Linked DNA regions of Stegostoma tigrinum. The protein of the gene in region 1 interacts with the protein of each later gene in a pairwise test. Links are inferred from orthologs where the notes say so. Each region holds a gene or a part of one and is shown in the gene's direction. Other genes may lie near its edges. The genes, in order: xrcc4, aplf and aptx.

What was found.
Region 2: the proteins of xrcc4 (region 1) and aplf interact in binary tests that used the Homo sapiens proteins (3 or more experiments, as listed by UniProt). The link is inferred for Stegostoma tigrinum from reciprocal best matches to the Homo sapiens genes XRCC4 and APLF.
Region 3: the proteins of xrcc4 (region 1) and aptx interact in binary tests that used the Homo sapiens proteins (3 or more experiments, as listed by UniProt). The link is inferred for Stegostoma tigrinum from reciprocal best matches to the Homo sapiens genes XRCC4 and APTX.

Annotation. Positions count from the first base shown.
Region 1 is NC_081356.1:98,392,362-98,400,257, reverse strand, and holds the start of xrcc4 (DNA repair protein XRCC4), read left to right. Parts: upstream 1-4,853; 5' UTR 4,854-5,047; intron 5,048-7,896. Other genes in the region: tmem167a (protein kish-A), read right to left, coding at 4,670-4,672.
Region 2 is NC_081362.1:4,504,415-4,511,532, forward strand, and holds the start of aplf (aprataxin and PNK-like factor), read left to right. Parts: upstream 1-4,056; 5' UTR 4,057-4,215; coding exon 4,216-4,299; intron 4,300-4,592; exon of another isoform or gene 4,593-4,684; intron 4,685-6,332; coding exon 6,333-6,404; intron 6,405-7,118. Other genes in the region: F-box only protein 48, read right to left, coding at 458-760. UniProt on the Homo sapiens protein: Histone chaperone involved in single-strand and double-strand DNA break repair.
Region 3 is NC_081356.1:29,977,104-29,984,852, reverse strand, and holds the start of aptx (aprataxin), read left to right. Parts: upstream 1-4,720; 5' UTR 4,721-4,811; intron 4,812-5,070; exon of another isoform or gene 5,071-5,250; intron 5,251-5,412; exon of another isoform or gene 5,413-5,665; intron 5,666-6,800; 5' UTR 6,801-6,804; coding exon 6,805-6,934; intron 6,935-7,749. UniProt on the Homo sapiens protein: DNA-binding protein involved in single-strand DNA break repair, double-strand DNA break repair and base excision repair.

The DNA of each region.
Region 1 (7,896 bases):
TAGCCACCAGACTTTTCTTCAAGAAAAGAACACATGGAATATTAAGATCGCTGTTGACCTAGTATTTTAACACAAACAGACAGACCTATAGACACAGTTGTCTCCAAGGTCATGGTTTCAGTAACACAAAAATCACTCAGGGATATGGGTACTTCAAAGGCACTAGATCAGTTGGGTGGGGGTGGGGGGTCTTCAAGGGCACGAAGATCACTCAGTGATGGCTTCCAACACAGAATAAACATTGAGGTGGCAGGGTAAGTGCAGAGAACAGTTAATAAAGCACAGTATACTCAGATTTAATAAGAAAGGCATAGAATACAAGAGATGACGATGTTGAACTTGTATAAGGCACTTGTTAGACCTCAGCTGCAGCATTCTTACAGTGAAAGTACCACATTTACAGATGTGAAAATGCAGAAGAGATTTAAAGAACTGTTCCAGAAATTAGAAATGTCAGTTAGGGAGAAAGATTGAAGAAGTTGCGACTGTTATTTTCAGACAAAAGGTGGCAGAGAGGAGATTTGATACAGGTTTTCAAAATGGATCGCTGGATAGTGAGAATCTGTTCCCACTTATAAAAAAGATTTTTAAAAATTAGACAGCATAGGCTAAAAAGTGGTCTGCAGAAGAGGCAGGATGAGGTGAGAGAGAAAAAAAAACTTTCATGCAGTGAATAGTTAGGATATGGAATGCATGAAGACCACAAGAAATAGGAACAGGAGCTTGCTCCACCATTCAACAGGAACATGGTCGATCCAGTACACCTCACATCCACTTTCCTGGCATTTCCCCACAACACTTGATTTCCCTATTGATCAACAATCTCTCAACTTTACACATGCACAAGGACTCTGCTCCCACAGCTCTGTGGCAAGCAGTTGAGACACTCAATCCTCAGGAGAAATCCCTCTGCACTCCTTATTTCTACAAGTATGTCCTAGATTCTTCCAAGAGGGAGAAACTTTCTCTCATCCTTTACCATAAGCCCGTTAAGAATTCTGAATGTTTCAATGAAATGATCTCTCATTCTTCTAAATTCCAATGAGTATCAACTCAAACTATTTAGCCCTTGTTCATAAGTCAACCCCTCCACACCAAGAGATCATTTCAGTGAATCTTCTCCGAACTGCCTCCAATGAAATAATATATTTCCATAAATAAAGGGATGGAACAACTCTCAGTACTTTGGATGTGTATCAACAGCACCTTGCACAGTCGTAGAAAGGTGTCCCTACTCCATACTCCAACCCCCTTGAAATAACCGCCCCAACCCTCACACCCCATCCCCGCAATAACTGCTAAAAGAGAATCCACCTCGTCCTCACATACCACCCCACCAACCTCAGGATACAACACATCATCCTGCAACACTTACGCCATCTACAATCTGATCTCAAAGAGATTTTTCCATGCCCACCCTTGTCTGCCTCCCAGAAAGACCACTCTCTCTGGAACTCCCTTGTCTGCTCCACACACTCATCCAACTCCACTGCACCCAGCACTTTCCCCTGCCATCGCAGGAAGTGCTACACTTGCGCCTACTCCTCCTCCCTCACCCCCAACCCAGGCCCCAAGATGACTTTCCACATCAAGCAGATGTTCACTTGCACATCTGCCAATGTGGTATATAGCATCCGCTGTACCCGTTGTGGCTTCCTCTACATTGGGGAAACCAAGCAGACACTTGGGGACTGCTTTGCAGAACACCTACACTCGGTTCGCCGCAAACAACTGCCCCTCCCAATCGCAAACCATTTCAACTCCCCCTCCCATTCCTTAGACGACATGTCCATTCTGGGCCTCCTGCAGTGCCACAATGATGCCACCCGAAGGTTGCAGGAACAGCAACTCATATTCTGCTTTGGAACCCTGCAACCCAATGGTATCAATGTGGATTTCACAAACTTCAAAATCTCCCCTCCCCCCACTGCATCCCAAAACTAGCCCAGCTCGTCCCCGCCTTCCTAACTTGTTCTTCCCCTCACCTATGCCCTCCTCCCATCTCAAGCCACACTGCCATTCCCTACCTCCTAACCTCATCCCGCCCTCTTGACCTGTCCACCCTCCCCAGACTGACCTATCCCCTCCTACCTCCCCACCTATACTCACCTCTACAGGCTCCATCACTCCGCCTTTAACTTGTCTTTCTCCTCTCCACCTTTCTTCTCCTCTATCCACCTTCGGTCCTCTCTCCCTATTTATTTCAGAACCCTCTCCCCATCCCCGTTCTGAAGAAGGGTCTAGGCCTAAGACGTCGGCTTTTGTGCTCCTAAGATGCTGCTTGACCTGCTGTGTTCATCCAGCTCCACATTTTGTTACCCCTTGAAATAAGGACTCACATTCCATTCCACTTGTATGCTAGCTTTCAGTGTTTTGTGTATAAGTATCGCCAAGTGTCTTAGTGCGGCAGCTTTCTGCAGTTTTACTCCATTTAGATAAACTATTTGGATTATGGTGGAGGTAGGTTCAATCATGAGAGGGCATTGGCTGATAATTTGGATAGAAATAGTGTGCAAGGTTATAAGGCAAAAAGCAGGAGACTGGCAGAAGGTGACAATGCTTGTTTGAAGAGCTGGTGCAGGTGCGACGGTTGTATGGACTTCTTCTACATGACTGTTAATCCAAATGTTCTGGGCACTGGGGTACAAATCCCACCATGGCAGATGGTGGAATTTGAATTTCATAAATATCTGGAACTAACGATCTAATGATAACCATGGATCCATTGTCAATTGTCAGAAAAACCCACGTGGTTCACTGAAGTTCTTTAGGGAAGGAAATTGTCACCCATACCTGGTCTGCCCTACATGTGACTGTAGACTCATAGTCACGTGGTTGACTCTTAACTACCTTCTGAACAATTAGGGATGGACAATAAATACTGCCTAGCCAGCGATGTCCTCATCTCGTGAATGAAAAAAATCAGTGATTATGAGAAGATTACCTGGGGCCTGACACATACAAGAACACCTGGCAGCCTGACTGTAGATGTGGAGAGATTAGACCTAGTCTAAGGGATTATCCATTTAACAGAGACGGGGAGGGCCCTTCTATCCTAAAGTATTGACTCTGAGAACAAAGTTGGAGAAACTCAGTAGGTCCAATAGCATCTGTGGAGATAGTGGACTTGAAATGTTAATTCTGTTTCTATGACTCTTCTTCAGAAGAGTCAGGGTTCTGAAGGAGAATCACACTAGATTTGAAACTTTAACTCTACTTCTTTCTCAAGATCTGTCCGATCTGCTGCATTTCTCCAGGTGTTTGTTTCATATTTTGTTTTTATTCAAGTTTTTAAAACTTAGCCTCAACAGCCCTTTAGGATAAAGTATACTTCAGGCTCAGGAGGACATATCATCAGTAAGGGAGTCAGGGGTCAGAGTAAAAGGCAGTGATGTGGAACTGAGGATTCAGATCAGACCAGACATGATCTCATTGGGCTGAATGACCCACTACTCATACATCTTTATCTTGTCTAATTAGTTTGCTCAGGAAACACTATTCACATCTTCCTGTCCCCTTCAAGTTCCATCCTTGAACAGAAGCCACTCCCAATTTGGAACTACATTGCTTCTCCTTCAATGTTGCATGGGCAAAATTCTAATAGTACAATCAGTGCTCCTGCATGTTGACGACTGCTACAATGCAAGAAAACATCACTATCTTCTCAAGGCCAGTTAAGGATGGGCAATAAACACAGGTCTATCCAGCAACATTTAGATCACTGAACGTATAAATAGCTGGCTACAACATGAGGAAAAGGCTTTCCTACATAGGTGGTCAGGAACACATCACCGGAGTACAGAAGGTGCAGATACAAGCTGGCTTTCAAAACGTAATTTAAAAGGGGGGGAAAGAAAACGTACAAAGCTACAGGGAAAGGACAGAGAGTAAGAATAAGATAATTTGCTTTGGTAGAGCTGGCATAACCACAACCGACTAAATGGCCTCTTGCGTTGTAACCATTTTGGGAAAACAACTCACAAGTCAATCATCTTCCATGGAGGACAATCATATATATTCATCATTTCATTACTGCCGGGCTGCAAGGGCACTGTGTCAATACTTAAAGTGAAAGCGATTCCAATGTGGAATTTAGACTGTTTAAAATAAGCGATTTGCTGTTGAACTATTACTTCACGTAGTAATTGATTACTCTGGAACCAAATACGTGCATCTAAGTTTGGCCAGTCTACACGTTTACGTACTTCTATTGTTTGTATGGATTAGATGTTTCGACAAAAGCCAGTATAATCGGAAGAAAACAGATCAAAGACAGAGGGAACTGCCGATGCTGGAGAATCTGAGATAACAAGGTGTAGATCTGGATGAACACAGCAGGCCAAGCAGCATCAGAGGAGCAGGAAAGCTAAAGTTTCGGGCCTGAAGAAGGGTCCAGACCCCGAAATGTCAGTCTTCCGGCTCCTGTGATGCTGCTTGGCCTGCTGTGTTCATCCAGATCTACACCTTGTTATCTCAGAAAACAGTCTGTTACCCGAAGGCCTTGATCCCATACACTTCTATTCCCGACCTCCCATCACACGGCGGACAAGTAACAAAAAGATACGAGGCTGTAAAAAATAAACGCACTAACCCACACACATACATCAGAATCTAAGCTGCTTAATAACTTCCTGCACACTACAACAAAAAAAAGACAAACCCCACTCACCATCCTGCACACTTCATAGCCACATCACACTTCCGGCAGGTCTGGAAGTGACGCACTCCCCGTTCGAACCGATTGCGGCTACAACGCTCTTCCACATCGCCCTCGCCGGCAATTTGCGATGACGTTACACACGGCGTCTTCACGTGAGACGGGGCTCTGGCCCTGGCTCAAGCGCCAAGTTTGTGTGAAACGTCATCGGAAGCGGGTGTCTGGCCGTGAGGCGCTGCGATTGGCGGGAGTTGCGGAAACGTTCTGCGTTTGCCCTGATGTCGCTGTGAAATTGACCAGATACATGACAGCAGAGCGTCGGCGGCAAAGGAGGCTCAGCGTTTAAATTCAGTACACTTAGGCCGATTCTGCTCAGTGTGGTCATTAAAGGTACAAGTCATAACTTTAGGTTGCCTTACCAGTTAGTTGGCATGAACTCTATCCGATTGAATAGTCTAGCTTCACATTTTATGAAAGCGGGAGTTTATAAACGCCCTTTTAACGTATGGAAAATGACAGCAAAATGTTTGCCGTTTTGAAGCCCGCGAGATTTCCCTCTGGAGTCCGCGAAGCCCTGTATCTTTAATAGATATAGAACGGGCAGATGCCATTCTGCCCATCTTGTAAATGCTGGCCTCTTATGCATATTTGAGGGAGTGGAAACTCGTGGGCCTTGTCATCTAAACCTTGGAGGAGTTTGGCAAGCCACTTAAAAGTCTGAAATCATCCTGTAGTTTTCAAGCATTACTACATCCTGCTGATCTATGGCCCTACATTCAATCAGTCAATGTCATTTTTTAATGGAAAAATGGCAGAGATTGCAGAAATCAATTCTATTTTCGTTCAACAAAATGAGTAATGTAATATCGTCATCAAATACAGAATCAAAACAGAAAATGCCGGAGAATTGAGCACTTGCTTTATTTAATGTTTCAGGCAGCACAGAATTTTACCCTTAGCACCAAATAGAAAAATCTGATCAAACTGTAGATTCTGCAGATCTGAAATAAGAATAGAAAGTGCTGAAAGAACTCAGCAGGTCTGTCAATAGTGCTGGTGTAAGAAAGAGTTAATGTTTTCAGCCCAGTTATGACTTCTGAACAGAAGGGCCTGTAAGATTACAGTTTTTTACTCTGTTGACAAAGGACTGAGTGGAACAGAACTAAAGGAAAGGAATGGAAGCATCAGAGAAGACTAATTGAGAGCAGGTCGGAATTTGGAAGCAAAATGGGTTAATTTTTCCAATTCTGGATGAGAGAAGGAAGCAGTGGCAATGATGTATCCATTTACTGGAGAAGATGTTGTGGGAGGGGCCCAAATTGGAAATCCTCCACAAATCCCATAAAGGTCCAGACATTACTTGGACCCATTAGGGTACCTGTAACCGCATCTTTGACTTCTAATTTGTGACTTTTTTTTAAACTTTTAAAATATCCACTAACATTCTGATGGCACACATTTGAGGAATTGTACATTCAGTGTTTTCTGGTGAAATTGTCGCTACAGTTAGTAAGGGCATGCTTTTCATTGATAATTTTCAAACTTAATAAAATATCGGGATCAAGGTTTTGTACTGTTTTCTCAATTAATATTTAGTTTTTAATTCGCTAATGAGATGTGGGTGTTGCTCACTGGGCCAGTTTTTATTGCTCATCCCTAGCTGCCCTTGAAAAGGTAGAGGTGAGCTGATTTCTTGAACTTCAACAATTCACATGGTGTAGCTGACCCTCAATGATGTTAGAGGGGAAGTTCCAGGATTTTGACTCAGGTACAGCAATATATTTCCAAGTCAGGATGGGGAGTGGCTAGAAGGGGAACTTCTAGTTCCCATGTATCTGCTGGTCTTGTCCTTCTGATGGAAGTGGTTGGGGGCTTAGAAGGTGCTGTCTCAGGATCTTTGGTGAATTTGGGCAGAACATCTTGCAGGTAGTACACACTGCTGCGACTGAGCATTGGTGGTACGGAATGTGGTACCAGTTGAGCAGGTTACTTTCTCCTGGATGGTGTCAAGGTTCCTGATTGCTGATGGAATTTCATCTGTCCTGGCAAGTAGGGAATATTCCAACACAGTCCTTGTGCCTTGTATGCAATAGAATATCTTTTGTTTTCATGTGGATAGGCTTTGGGGAGCCAGGTGGTGAGTTAGTCTCTGGGGTTTCCTAGCCTCTAATCCGCTCTTATAGCTACTGTGATTATGTGATGAGTTCAGTTGACTTTCTGGTCAATGATAAACCCCAGGACATTGATAGTGGGGAATTCAGTGATGGTAACACCTTTGCATGTCAAAAGGTAGTGGTTAGATTGTCTTTTATTTGAGATGGTTGTTGTGTGGTATTTGTGTGATATGAATTTTACTTATCACTTGTCAGCCCAAGCCTGGGTATTGTCCATATCTTGTTGCATTCGAACATGGACTGCTTCAGTATCTGAGGAGTCACAAATGATGCTGAACATGGTGCAGTTATTGGTGAACATCCCCACTTATGACCTTATGATGGAGGGAAGGGCTATAACCTTAGAAGCTGCTGTGTCTTCTAGTTCCTCTAAGTTTGAAATAATCACAATTGTTGACTCAGAATGATGGCAATTCATCAAGCATTTCATACAGCTGTGTATATTGCTCCTTACAATTAGGCGCTGAGCAATGTGTCACCCTGGGTATTTGTATAACAATTCCTTGCTGTTTATGAATCATTGTAACTTCCCTCTTTCTTTAAAACAAACCACTATATCATTAAAACTACACTAATTATGAGTGTCTTTTTATACTGTATATCAAACACCCAACTTTTGTAACGTACTTGTGTATTCGTAACTAAGACAAAAGGAAGACGTATCAGGAAAGTAGAAATTTTTGAAATAATTAAACCTGTCACAAGAGTCACAGATGTATTTGGGAAGCAACTGGACAATCTGAGAAAAAATGGGGTCAAAATAGGAAGACATATGTAGGAAGGGACATTTCACAAGTTGAAATGCTCTTCAGAGGTAATTAATTCAGTGACAGTCCTGTGAATGGTTTGATGTTTGGTGCCGGGATTATGGGCCAGATGCTGGCAGAAAGAAGTTTCTGAGTGATTACAGCTTGCCTTCCTTAAGACCTGAAAGGAAGAGTAGATTCAGATGAAGTATGAAATAAAACAGTGAAACATTGCATGTTTGAGAAAGGTTTAAGATGTGCGTGTCACCTGCTGAGTTTTTTCAGACTTCTGGAGTTTTGTTTCAGACTTCCAGTATCT
Region 2 (7,118 bases), on another chromosome or scaffold:
AAAACCTTCATGTTCTTTCCAAACTGGCCTGTCCACAACTGAATCCACATCTCCAGAGCAGTAGCAGTAGTACTAGTCCAAAGACATTATCACTACATCACTGTTTACCTGGTTTACCCTATGGTGCCCACTCCACCAGCCTTTTCAGATCCTCTTAACATCTATCATAGTCGTCCTCATCTCATGTAGTCATTGGCACTACCACATTTGTCTATCCTGTGCTTTGCTAATAATTATTTATATCAAAAGTGCACGCTGCTCCCTGCTGGATGGAATGAGCATTCTTCTTAAACTGTTCCCATTCTGATAACGTTTGCACTTACAGCAGGGAGAATACTGGTGAAAAAGAGAAGAGAAACAAAAGTGTCAGTGAAACACTGAGTAAAAAGGAACCGGGGGGCAGCTGGACAATAAAAATGCCTAAACTTTCATGTAAATGATTGCCAATTGCACAAACCTTCCATGAAAGTCCATGTGCTCGATCCCACTGCAGCTCCCGCTTGCAGACAGCCAATATGGTCAGGCAATGATTGTACCAAAGGCTGTCACTGGTTTCGATCAGATCATTCCACGCTTTGCAAGTCATTGCAGCATTAGACAAGCTTCGAACGTCCAGTTCACTGAAAATTTTCAGAGTTAACTCTTGAGGCAAAAACTGGGCAAAATCAAAACGATTTTGTAGCTTTTTCTGCACAGCGGAGAAAACAGTTTTGTCTTCACCATTAGCAATTTGCTTATTTCTTTTGCAAGACCTTTGCATAGTTTTTTGTTCCAGAATCTCAAAAGATCTTTCAAAACAAACCAAATCAAATTTTAACTAGTCTTATTGGTTGATTTTCTGTCTTACTGACATAAGACTTTGTCACCAAACTTCTTGACAATCTATTTGTTACTCATCTTTTCTTTTTTGTGAATTTCTTCCATCACCATCATTGTTGCTTTTCTTTTGTCTCCTTTCTTTTGGTTGTCTATTGGCTCCTCAGTGTCTTTTCATCAAGCCACGTACTACTCTGCAGGCCTCTGAAAAATATTGTTTACAGATTTATTCCTATTTTAGATTTTTTAATGTTCAAGATGCACAGCAGAGTATTAGCAGAAAGGAAAATCCAAAGAACTGCAGTCATTGGAAATCAGGAGCAAAATCAAAAATTTCTGGAAAAACTCACCAGGTCTGGCAGCATCTGTGAAGAAATAAAGGTTAGTTAACATTTCTGGTCCAGTGAAGGTTCTGAAGAAGGGTCACTGGGCCTGAAAAGTTTATTTTGCTGTTTTTTCCCCAGACGCTGCCAGACCTGCTGACTTTTTAGAGCAATTACTGATTTCATTACTAGCAGAAAGGGTTTGGCATATGAGTTTTATCTGCTCACCTGTTATCTGTAAATCTGGAATATGTCATTGGGTTCTGTATTGCAAATTACCAATTTACACCAGGTTATGCCACCACTATTATTTGTATAACCTGAGTCTGTACCTTAACCTTCAAACTGAGAGATCTCTTGTAAAACACCAGTCCACACAGCTTATCCATGTATTGTTCGTGTTATCTTTGAATCTGTAAAGTTCATGTTTTAGTCTGTAATAGTTTAACCTGTCCTTTTTGTACATGTTTGTTGTTTAACCTGGCAATTCTTTTTTAAAACCCCATCCTCTATCAATGCTTTTCGGTGTTCATCATACAACCAATAACTCATTTATCATGTTCCATGGTTAATAACCTGGAGATGATGACTGTCCTGATTTGACATGTATTTGATTTGATTTATTATTGTCACATGTACCTAAGTACAGTGAAAAGTTTTGTTTGCATGCAGTACAGGCAGATCATAACATACAAAGATTAAAGGGTGATTGAACAGAGCAAGGAATACAAAGTTATGGTTGTAAAGAAGGTGCACAAAAAGCAAGGCCAATGTTAGATTTGAAATTTGAGAAGTTGCTGACTTCTGGGAGGTACTGCCTTCTCGGTTTCTACTACTTGCCCATTTCAACATCAGTTGCCCCCACTCTCTCCTACTCCCATCCTTGCTCCCCTTCACTTTACCCCTGCCCTCTCTCCCCATGACCTGCCACCTCCGCCCTGAGCCCACCCCACACTACCCACCCATCTCCTCCCCATACCCCTTCACCGTCCTGTTCCCCTCTCCCACTCTCCCCATCCCCACTCTCCCCCTGTTCCCCTCTCCCACTCTCCCCATCCCCACTCTCCCCCTCTCCCCCTTCCCCCTGTTCCCCTCTCCCACTCTCCCCATCCCCACTCTCCCCCTTCCCCCGTTCCCCTCTCCCACTCTCCCCCTTCCCCCGTTCCCCTCTCCCACTCTCCCCATCCCCACTCTCCCCCTTCCCCCTGTTCCCCTCTCCCACTCTCCCCATCCCCACTCTCCCCCTTCCCCCTGTTCCCCTCTCCCACTCTCCCCATCCCCACTCTCCCCCTTCTCCCTGTTCCCCTCTCCCCATCCCCACTCTCCCCCTTCTCCCTGTTCCCCTTTCCCACTCTCCCCATCCCCACTCTCCCCCTTCCCCCTGTTCCCCTCTCCCACTCTCCCCATCCCCACTCTCCCCCTTCCCCCTGTTCCCCTCTCCCACTCTCCCCATCCCCACTCTCCCCCTTCCCCCTGTTCCCCTCTCCCACTCTCCCCATCCCCACTCTCCCCCTTCCCCCTGTTCCCCTCTCCCACTCTCCCCATCCCCACTCTCCCCCTTCCCCCTGTTCCCCTCTCCCACTCTCCCCATCCCCACTCTCCCCCTTCCCCCTGTTCCCCTCTCCCACTCTCCCCATCCCCACTCTCCCCCTTCCCCCTGTTCCCCTCTCCCACTCCCCCCATCCCCACTCTCCCCCTTCCCCCTGTTCCCCTCTCCCACTCCCCCCATCCCCACTCTCCCCCTTCCCCCTGTTCCCCTCTCCCACTCCCCCCATCCCCACTCTCCCCCTTCCCCCTGTTCCCCTCTCCCACTCTCCCCATCCCCACTCTCCCCCTTCCCCCTGTTCCCCTCTCCCACTCTCCCCATCCCCACTCTCCCCCTTCCCCCTGTTCCCCTCTCCCACTCTCCCCCTTCTCCCTGTTCCCCTTTCCCACTCTCCCCATCCCCACTCTCCCCCTTCTCCCTGTTCCCCTTTCCCACTCTCCCCATCCCCACTCTCCCCCTTCTCCCTGTTCCCCTTTCCCACTCTCCCTGTTCCCCTTTCCCACTCTCCCCCTTCTCCCTGTTCCCCTTTCCCACTCTCCCCATCCCCACTCTCCCCCTTCTCCCTGTTCCCCTTTCCCACTCTCCCTGTTCCCCTTTCCCACTCTCCCCCTTCTCCCTGTTCCCCTTTCCCACTCTCCCCATCCCCACTCTCCCCCTTCTCCCTGTTCCCCTTTCCCACTCTCCCCATCCCCACTCTCCCTGTTCCCCTTTCCCACTCTCCCCCTTCTCCCTGTTCCCCTTTCCCACTCTCCCCCTTCTCCCTGTTCCCCTTTCCCACTCTCCCCATCCCCTCTCCCCCTTCTCCCTGTTCCCCTTTCCCACTCTCCCCATCCCCACTCTCCCCCTCCCCACTCTCCCCCTGTTCCCCTTTCCCACTCTCCCCATCCCCACTCTCCCCCTTCCCCCTGTTCCCCTTTCCCACTCTCCCCATCCCCACTCTCCCCCTTCCCCCTGTTCCCCTTTCCCACTCTCCCCATCCCCACTCTCCCCCTTCCCCCTGTTCCCCTTTCCCACTCTCCCCCTTCCCACTCTCCCCCTTCCCCCTGTTCCCCTTTCCCACTCTCCCCATCCCCACTCTCCCCCTTCTCCCTGTTCCCCTTTCCCACTCTCCCCATCCCCACTCTCCCCCTTCTCCCTGTTCCCCTTTCCCACTCTCCCCATTCCCACTCTCCCCCTTCTCCCTGTTCCCCTTTCCCACTCTCCCCATTCCCACTCTTCCTCTTCTCCCGTTCCCATTGCCCCCTCTCTCTGTCTCACTCTCACTTTATTCGGATCTTGTTTGTTTTCAGTTTAAATCTCCGGCCGTTGATATTTGTTTTTCTGCGACGTCACTCGCTCGCGCACCGTTTCCGCATTCGTGCCGCGCGGGGTGGGCGGCCCTCCACAAGTGCGCAGGCCCCCGCGAAGGAGCCTGGGAGTTGTAGTTCGGAGCGTTCTTACGGTGTAGCTCGTTCCCGGTGCCGGCGAAGGGCGAGCTTGTGTCGGAACCAGGGGGAGGAATGTGAGCTCCCTCCCAGGAACGGGAGGAGGATGGAGCTGGAGCCCGAGGACGGGAGCGGGAACATCGCTCTCGCGGGAGGCCTGACCGCCATAGGCCGCGGCCCTTTTCTCCGGGTGAGAGACGACCGCCCCCGTCCCTTCTCCACCCCCCCAGATCCCTTCTCCACCAACCCCCGCCCCATTCCTTGTCCCTGTCCCTCAGGCCCTACCTCTCACCCCTACCATTCACACCTGTCCCATGCCTCTTCCTCCTCAACCTCTGACCTTACCCCCCGCCCCCCCCATCCCCTTACTCCACTCTTAAACCCAACCTTACGGGTTCCCTTGACCTGACCACCAGCTCTAACAATGATTTCATACCCTAACATCCCCCACCCCAAAACAAAACCCTGGAAATGGCATCTCACCTGATCGCTCGGATTACCGAAGAAACAAGCCATTCAGCCCATCTGGCCCATGCTCATGCCCATTCCACGTGAGCTCCCACTCACCCTCCTCGTCAAACCCAAGCAGAGTATCCTTACCCTTTCTCCCTTGTGTTTCTATCCAGCTTTCCCTTTAAATGTGTCAATATTTCTCTGTCCCCATCCTCTCCAATCTCCAAGTGAGGAAGTTTCTCCTGAGTATCTCTTGGGAAATAACCACTTTGCATTTTTAAAAACCAAAAGAACTGGAGATGTTAAACATCAGGAACAAAAACAAAGTTTTGAGGCAGGATCACCAGACCCGAAATGTTAACTCTGTTTTTTCCTTCACAGACCTGCTGAGCTTTTCCAGCAACTTTGTTTTTGATTTTGCATTTGTAACTCATTTCTTGGGAAAACCAAAACTCTGAAAATCTCTCCTCCACTTCTGCCCTTAAAAACCCTTCTCATAAACTTAAAGACCTTGAGATCAAACTTGAAGCCTTCTGCTGCCAGCTTTGGATCTCTGGCTCAACCTAGGTTCACAACCATGGCCTCCTATAGATTCAGCATTGGCCTTTTGATCTCAGTTTCTGTCCTGAACAAATGCTGCACAGTTTCATCTCCGTAGCATTAGTAGTCTTAGTCTCAACCCATCTTCTGAGTGCCTTTGTCTCCAGTAGAAATATTTTGGAATTCCTGGCTAATTTGCTGTCATTCTCTACTCTTAAAGAGTGGCCAATTGTAAGAATATAACTAATCAGAATGAAAACTGAACCATGAATCTTGGAAATATTCAGCAGACTCATCAGCATCTGTGAATAGAAAAGAGGTTATTGTTCGGAAGTAGAGTCATACACTACTGCAGCATTAACTCTGTTTCTGTCTCCACAGGTGAAGCCAGACCTGCTGATCTTTCTCTATTTTTTCTATTATAACTATTCCTTTTCAATCCCACTTCCTTTGTTGCACACACTTACAAAAATATCTCCCAGCTGCCAGATCCCAACGTTTCACACATCAGCAATCACTGAGTTGTTCTCAACTTCATGTTTCATAATTTTGTCCAGTAGAAGACCCATCACAGCCTGATCTTAATTGTTCCCTCTGGTTTTACTTGAGTTTTTACCACCTTTCTGTAGTCCAACGCATGTTTATTGGCATAGCTATCTCTTGTTCTAACCTGATTATACAACATCAATCATTGTCAGAATGGGGTCTCCTTACTCCAGGATAATCCTGGAAAGTGAAGATAAATCTCCACTCCATCTCTCTCCAATGATTTGTCTCCCTGAACCTCTCTGCCTGCACCCTCATCTCTAATAACAGATGAGGAAACTGCAAGCTTATTGTTGCTGAATTTGAGAGTGTCTGTTCAGTCATTGGTCTTCCTTTCTCTTGCCGTGTAACCACTAAATTGCCCAGGGGCTCTGCAACAATTAGGAATGTGGCGTATACAACCAACATTCCCCATAAGGGATCTTAAAGGGATAAAACCACACAACGGAGAAAAATTATGGGGGCATTACCACTGCCAATCTCTAAACCCACATATATTTCCCAATTTATCATTTGTCTCCTCTCATAGCATTTTCTTGCTCGCCCTACCTGTCTGACAAATTTTCTGCTCTGGTTCACTCTATTCTTGATTTATTTTCAGTAAGGGAATGGCGCATTCAAATAGGAAAATCCAATGTTGTTGTAATAGTAAATAACTCTTTTAATGGATTTTTTCATTTTCAGGTTTCCGATAAGCGAGTGTCCAGGAATCATGGTCTCCTGGAAGTTGTCAATGAGAAGTTACGCATCAAACCAGTGAGTAGGTTTCTACCTGAACAGTGTAATTTCTGCAAATACAGATAGTAGTTTATACCTGTAGTCAGTTTTTTTTAATCTCATCCCTAAAGGATTAGAGTTAGGCTTAGTTAGTCCTTTAAATGGAATTCTGTTTGGATTACTGGGGTAACAGGTTACAGTCTTCATCATAGAATCCCTATTGTGGTATCCCTATCACTGGCTAGACCAATACTCATTGTCCATTCTTAATTATCCTTGAGAAGGTGCCTTTTTGAACTGCTGCAGTACATTTTAGGATCGGTACACCTAGAGTACTGTCAGCGAGATATTTCTAGTATTTTGACCCAGTGACAGTGAAGGTGAATCCATAGGTACCAAGAGATGCATTTGAAATTGGTGGAGTCAGAATTTGTAAAACACTCAAATATGAATTGTGCCTTTGTTTTTATTAGACAAATAAGGCCCAACAAGTCCGTACTGCCCCTCCAAACAGGATCCCACCCAGATCCATTCCCCTACTGCTGCATTTCTCATGTTTAACCCACCTAATCTAAACATCACTGGGCACTATGGGCAATTTAGTACGGCCATTCCACCTAGTCTGTACATCTTTGGACTGTGGGAAAAACTGGAACACCCGGAGGAAACTCTCATAGACACGGGGAGAATGTGCAAACTCCACTCAGACAGCCACCTGAGGGTGGAATTGAACCCGGGTCCCTGGCACTGTGA
Region 3 (7,749 bases), about 68 Mb from region 1:
TGAACAAAAATACTTGTTTAGTATCTCCTATTTCCTGTGGTTCTGCACATGGGTGGCCTTGCTGATCTTTAAGAGGCCCTATTCTCTCCTTAGTTATCCTTTTATCGTTAATGTATTTGTAGAATCCCTTTGAATTCTCCTTAAACCTATTTGCCAAAGCTATCTCACGCCCCCTTTTTGCCCTCCTGATTTCCCTCTTAAGTATACGCCTACAGCTGCCTTTTGACTCTTCTAAGGATTCACTCTATCTCTGCTGTCTGTACCTGACATACACTTCCTTCTTTTTCTTGACCAAAACCTCAACTTCTCTCGTCATCCAGCATTCCCTACACGACCAGCCTTGTCTTTCACCCTAACAGGAACAAACTGTCTCTGGACTCTCATTATGCCATTTTTGAATGCTTCCATTTTCTAGCTATTCCTTTAGTTGTGAACATCTACTTCCAACCAACTTTTGAATGTTATTGCCTAATACCATAAAAATTGGTCTTCCTCCCATTTAGAGCGTTAACTTTTAGGTCTGGTCTATCCTTTTCCGTCACTGTTTTAAAACTAATAGAATTGCATGAAACAAAACTTGGAATTAAAATTAAAGCTTGGAATGCTCTGTAGACACACTTGTTTTATAAAAAAAACATGAGTGAATATGACAATGTTGTCTATTATAAATAAAATGACATTACCGCATCAAAAAGGACTGATATAGCAAAGAAAAATTGCACTTTTATTAAATCATAGGATGTGGACTTCCCCGGCAAGGCCAGCGTTGATGCCTATCTGTAATTACTTGTGAAGGTAGCAGTGACCTGCCTTCTGGATGTACTGCAGACCATCTGAAGTGACTTTTAAGGATCTGAGCCAGTAATATCAAGGAACAACAATACATTTCAAGGTTAAGTTAGTGAAAATTGTAAGTGCTGATGTTTGATAAGCCTGCTGTCCCTGTCTTCCTAAATGATAGAAATTGAGAATTCTAATGTTTTTGAGTAGATCTGTAGCTCGGGTGATGGATGTTATGGTTGGTTGGTTTGCTGAGCTGGTTTGTTGTTCCACAGACTTTTCAGTACCCTGCTGGGCAACATCATCAGTGCAGCATCCGATTAAGTGCTGTTGTGTTTTCCAGCCTGGTATTTAAACTCTGTCAACAGATAACAAGAACCAAGAAAAGACAGTTTCTTCAAGAAATCGAAAATTGAGAGTTCAAAACTCAACACAGCAAATCGTGGACTAAATTCTGCTACTTAATAAATTAAGAATAAAGGTAGTGATCATGTAACTACTGATGTTATCAAAATACACTTGATTCATTAATGTCCTTTCAGAAAGGAAGGTGGCCATTTTTGCCAACTCATCCTATATTGACGCCAGACCTATATCAATGTGGTTGGCTCTTAAGTTCCCTCTAAAATGGATTTAGGCAGCCATGAAGACAGTTGAGCAACAACTACTCAAGGTTTATTAGAATGGGCAATAAATACTGACATTACTAATGACAGCCATGTTGTAACTGAGATAAACCTACAACAGGTTGTCTTTTAAAGTGCTTCAGGAATGAGAACAGATCTGATATATTTGATCAAGTTAGAAGGCACATTACTCAACATTCCACCAATGCAATATCTGAACTTAAAATAGCCAATGTTGATACTTGGTCTTTAGGTTCCTCAATTCCTATCAATTGCCTGAATATTCAAGAAGCATTTAAAATACCAGGGCATACTAGGATATGGGACCAAGTGCAAGTTTAGTTAGGTATTTGTTGATCAATATAGACATGGTGGGCCGGACAGCCTGTTTCCACACTGTATGACTCTGATAAGGTACATATAGAGCTTTCAAGGCATGTGGGGTATGGGAGGAAGGGAGAGGTGTCCATAGCTGCCCAACACAAATATAACAGAAAACTCCAATAGAGACTTCAGAAGAAACTTCTTTACACAGAGTTAGGTGTTTGTTTTTGACTGGCATGGATACAGAAGGGGCTTTTTCTGTACTGTAGATTTCCTGTGACTTCCAGAGTGATGGGAATGTGAAACTCACTTCAAAGTGCTGCAGCTCCGCTTTAGACACAATCAGTTGAACGGACTCCTTTGTTACAACAATTCTGTGATTTTGAGTAGGTGAGGCAGAAAAAAACATGGATGCAGTTAAGGGGAAAGCTTGATATGTGTATAAGGGAAAAAAAGAACATACGCTAAAGAAAAATAAGAAAAGTATAGCGGGAAATGTAAATGCTAGCACATGAGTTGGTGTGAATAGCTTGTTACATCATTTTCTTTTATAGTCTCAAAAGAGAGCTACTTTTATCCCTTTTCAGTTCTGGTATCCAAGATTTCCCCGACCATATTTAGTAAAGGCATTGACTTGTACAATTCATAATACAATCAATCTTTAATTCATTTACAATAGTCAACCATGGATACATCATTCACAGTTACAGCAACAGATATTGGCCACAATACACAGCTACATTTCGAACTACAATTAACAAAGTCTAGGGCATACAGATAACTTGGAGTTTAAATTATTCTTTGGTAACACTTTTGGCAGCACAAACATAATCAGTTTAGCACTACATCAAAAATATGTAAACAAATGAGTCATTTTGAATTGTCATTTTCAAATCAGTTATTGTAAAGCATACATTCCACAGACAAACTCAAACTTGTAGTGGGATGCAGCCGTCACTGCCTAAGCTGGCATTTATTACACGTCCCTAACTGCTCTTGAGAAGGTTATGGTGAATTACCATCTTGAACCACTGCAGTCCATGTGGCGAAGACAGTTACACTGTTATTTGGGATTTTGACACAGCAACAGTGAAGGATGGCAAAATAGTTACAAGTCAGGATGGTGCGTGGTTTGGAGGAAAACTAGCAGATGATGGTGTTCCCATGCATAAGCTTTCATTGTCTTGTCAGTGACTATTATTTTGGAAGGTACTGCCCAAAGAGAAAACTCTAAATATCTAGTCAATAACACTGATTTGCTCTAATTTATTACTCTTTGTCAAAATAAATGTTATGTTCATACAAAATGTTACCAGAACAAACAGGAGTAGGCCATTCAGTTTCCTCAAGCCTACACTGCCATTCAACAGCATCATGGCTGATGCGACACATTCCCTAAATCCACTTTCCTCATAACCCTTAAGGAAAGGCTAGGAAAACCTGGATTGTCTTCTCTTGAGTGGCGCAGGCTGAGGGGATACTTGATAGAAGTCTATAAATTATAAAGATGCACAGAAAAGGTTGATGGTCAGAATCTCTTTTCCTGAGTTGAAATAACAAATACAATGGAGCATGCATTAAAGGTGAAGGCGGGGGTGGGCAAGTTCAAATGAAATGTGAGAGGCAAGTGTTTTTTTTGCAGAGAGTGGTAGGAGTCAGGAACACACTGCCAAGGGTGGTGGTGGAGGCAGATACAATCAGAGCATTTAAAGGACTTTTAGATAAGCACATGAATACGCAAGGAATGGAAGGATAAGGACCAATGGAAGGCAGGAGGGATTAGTTTCATTTGGCGTCATGTTCGGCACAACATCATGGGTCGAAGGGCCCGATTCTATATCTCTAAAACTGCTCAAAGTATTCCAGATGTTTTCTCACCAGGACCTTGTACAGTCGCAGTAAGACTTCCCTACTCTTACATTTCTATCTCTAATCACAATACACTTAGCCTAATCAATGCAAACAGTAATCTATCATTGAAGCAAACATAAAAATGAACTCCTGGCTTACTAAACACCACACAAACCTACAGCTCACAGAAGAATGAAAAATATATAAAAACTTATACCACTGGCAGGAGATTGGCTCCTTCAGAGACACCACAATTCAAATGGGTTCTTTCTGTGCTGTAACATTCCTTCTAATTGAGGCCGCACCAAACTGCAATTCTGTGAAAAATTCCAGTGGAGTAGTCATGCAAAAATCTCAAAGTTTAACTCCTCCGGTGCAACATCAAACCCAAGAACCAACTGCTTAATCGGATGCTTCAGCTAATTACTAAAGCTTCCATTTTCACTTTGAGACATAGCCAACACTCAAACAGCAATCAATATTAGATAAATTCATAGAATCCCTACAGCTTGGAAACAGGCCCTTCAGCCCAACAAGTCCACAACGACCCTCAGAGCATACAACCCAGACCCACCATCCACCTAATCTTCACATCTTTGAACACTATTGGCAATTTTGCATTGCCAATCCACCTACCCTGCACATCTTTGGACTTTGGGAGGAAACAGGAGCACCCAGAGGAAACCCACACAGACACAGGGAGAATGTGCAAACTTCACATAGAAGGTTGTCCGAGGGTGGAATCAAACCTGGGTCCCTCGTACTGACAGGCAGCAGTGCTAACCACTGTATGACAACCAATTATTTGGTCTTACTCAGTTGAGAGACAAAAAGTATCTGCATATGCTAGAATCCAATCAGTACCCAAAATGTTGGCTGCTCCTTTCTTCCAGGTGCTGTCTGGCAGGCTGTGTTCTTCCAGCCTCCTGTTTGTCTTTGTCAAAATTCTCTCTTAAATCGTCCAAACAACAAATAATTGTAATTAAAAAGAGAAAATGTTGGCAATATCATATCAGTTTGTGGAGAGGGGGAAAAAACAAGAGTACTAAGGTAGAGATAGTAGGAACTGCTGATGCTGGAGAATCTGAGGTAACATAACAGCTATGAAGCTGGATGCACACAGCAGGTCAAGCAGCACCAGAGGAGCTGGAAAGTTTGACGTTTCAGGTCGAGACCCTTCTTCAGAAAATGTTCATCCAGCTTCAGACCGTGTCATCTAAGAGTAATAAGGTAACATTTTCTTAAAAACAGTGAGTTATGACCTAGATGGGCTACCTGAAAGACAGGAGGAAGCAGATTAAATGTAGTGAATTTCAAAAGGGAATCAGGTAAGTATTTGAGAAGGAGGAATTTGCAAGGTTTCTGCCGGAAATAAGCAGAGGATCTGGGATAAACTGAAAAGCTCTTTCAAAGAGCCAGCGCAGTTTATGATACCAAAGGGACTGCGACCAGAACAACAAATGAGATTCTCTGATACAACAAGGTGTGGAGCTGGATGAACACAGCAGACAAGCAGCATCGGAGGAGCAGGAAGGCTGACGTTATGGGCCTAGACCCTTCATCAGATCCTCTTCCTCGCCATCAGTCCCCGGCTCACGACGGCTACATCGTCTGGTTTTTTCAACGAACACTCAACCTGTGTCAGGGAATGAGGGAAGGAACCGAGAAGGTTTGACAAAGAATTTTCGACACTTCACTTCCGATACAGCTATCTATGTCATTAAGCCGGTCGCCTTTACACTCGCGAGACGGTCAGTGACAAGAGCTCCCGCCTTACAAAGATGGCGTCCACGCGGCTTTTCCTCTACGGTGCGCGCATGCGCGGCGCAAGTTGCACATGCGTGATCTAAAGCTGGGGTGTCGCAGTGCACGTCGGGGAACACTTTCAATTGCTTTTTGAAAATAAATAGTTAAATCGTAGAGCGATGTGGGAAACCTAAGTGACACGTTTGCTCTTTAAAGTGTTACCCAGGCCCTGGTGTGGGAGTTAGCTGGCTGCGGTTTTGTTTTTTTTTTAAACAGCTTTCCTGAGCGGAGCCTTTGGGCCCACTGATTCCAGGGACTGTCAGACCTGCTGCAGTCAGGTAGGACTAGCTTCAACAATGAGCGTGGGTAGAGGTCCATTAATAGCCCTCAAGGAAATTGGGTACACTCATGAAAAGGAAACACGTAGGAGAGTAGGACTAGTGTTTTCAGACAGCCAGCACAGGAATGACTGGTCTGCCTTGCGTCATCATTCTAGTTAGCTCTTCTACACGTTGTAATTTAAGCCGCATCACTTTAAACATTTTTAATAGCTTTGCAAAAGTAATGGCTGTTACCCGTAAGCTGAAAGACGTTCACTTTTGTCTCCGGAGGCGATTGTTTGAGTCTTCTCACGAGAAGCCTTGAGACAACACTCTAACGCAGTCCTGAGGAAGTGTCACGTTATCAGGGATTTCTTTCCAATGATATTTAATTTGAGACCTCATTCTCCCCCTCAATAAGATAATCTGTTCACTGTGACACTGGAGTGAATGAGACCATGATATGAACAAATCAGATGTCCGGTGTCCTATATTAGAGCTGTGGCAACATATCTAAAGCAATAGGTTTAAGCTGCTTTTGGATTATGAAAGGTGCAAGAAGATGCAAGTTCTTCTTGCTTTCAATTTGAATGATTATAAAATTACAGTACATTTGTTTCCTACCCAGTGCTATTGCTTTAGCTTGCTTAGCACTTCATTTAGATTAGGTTTGAACGTCAGTGTCCTGGTTGGTTAAATTGTAGCCAATTTTTTATTAAAGAAAACTGTTAGTTTGTATTTCTTTGATTTTGGAGCTGTGGATTTGTACAGAATAAATGAATCCTTAAGTGCTAAATTGATTTAGGTTTTTAATAATTGAACACATTACAATGGAGACTTACATCTTTATAGTTTTTAACATTGTGGTGATTTATGAGCAATTGTGAAACAAGACAACACAGATCCTTGTAAGGATGTAATAGGACAAATGGCCAACAGCTCTGTCAGACACATACTTTAGGGAATGCCTTAAAGAAGGAGAGAAATAAAGAGGTTCATGGAAGGAATTTCACAACTTTGGCCTTTGGAGCTGAATGCATTGTATACAGCATTGGGAGGTTATAATGAACAAGAGACGATTTGGCATACAGAGACCTTGGACAGTTAGAAGATAAGGGATATCTCTGAGTGTAACTAATTTTCTGTCTTGCAGAATAATGCGAGTTTGTTGGTTGGTTAGTAAAGATGGGAGGCACCAACCAATACAACTGGCACACTTAGTCTGTGTTATGATTGGAAGGAGTCCTGAAACCAAAATAACAGATAAAAAATGTTCACGGCATCAAGGTGAGTGGTAACTTTTTTTGTATGAAATTTCCAACGGCTTCAAAACAAATTGGATATTGCTTAGAAATCAGTAGGTTAGAGATATTTGCAAGCTGAAATGACCAAACTGGAGGAGAAAATGGCTCTATTGGCATGGAGATAATGTCCTTGGGAAACTGGGTTGAATACAAGGGATCTGTGGACTGGAGTAGGGTCAGTAGTTTAATCAAATTTGTTCAAGAAACATTAAGCAGAACGTTCCATATTAGATAACTAAGTGTGGGGCTGGATGAACTTAGCAGGCTAAGCAGCATCTTAGGAGCACAAAAGCTGATGTTTCGGGCCTAGACCCTTCATCAGAAAAGTGGGATGGGGAGAAGATTCTGAAATAAGTAGGGAGGTGGACTGAAGATGGGTGGAGAGAAGAGTATGGGTGGGGAGGTAGGGAGGGGATAGGTCAAGGGGGTGGGATGAGGTTAGTAAGTAGGAAATGGAGGTGTGGCTTGAGGTGGGAGGAGGGGATAGGTGAGAGGAAGAACAGGTTAGGGAGGCTGGGACGAGCTGGGCTGGTTCTGGGATGCAGTGGGGGGAGGGAGATTTTGAAGCTGGTGAAATCCACATTCATATTAGATGTTTTGGCGACTTGATGAGCTAGACGCTGAAAGGATACTTTCTTTCATGAGGGAATCGAGAGCTACAAAGTAAAGGTTCAATTTACGATGGAATTTCCTTCCTCCAGTGAGCCGTGGAGGCTTTTCATTGAATATATTTCAGGCTGAATAATAGATTTTTGATTGAAAAAGCAGTCAAGGAATGAGCGGGATAAGAGTCAGGCA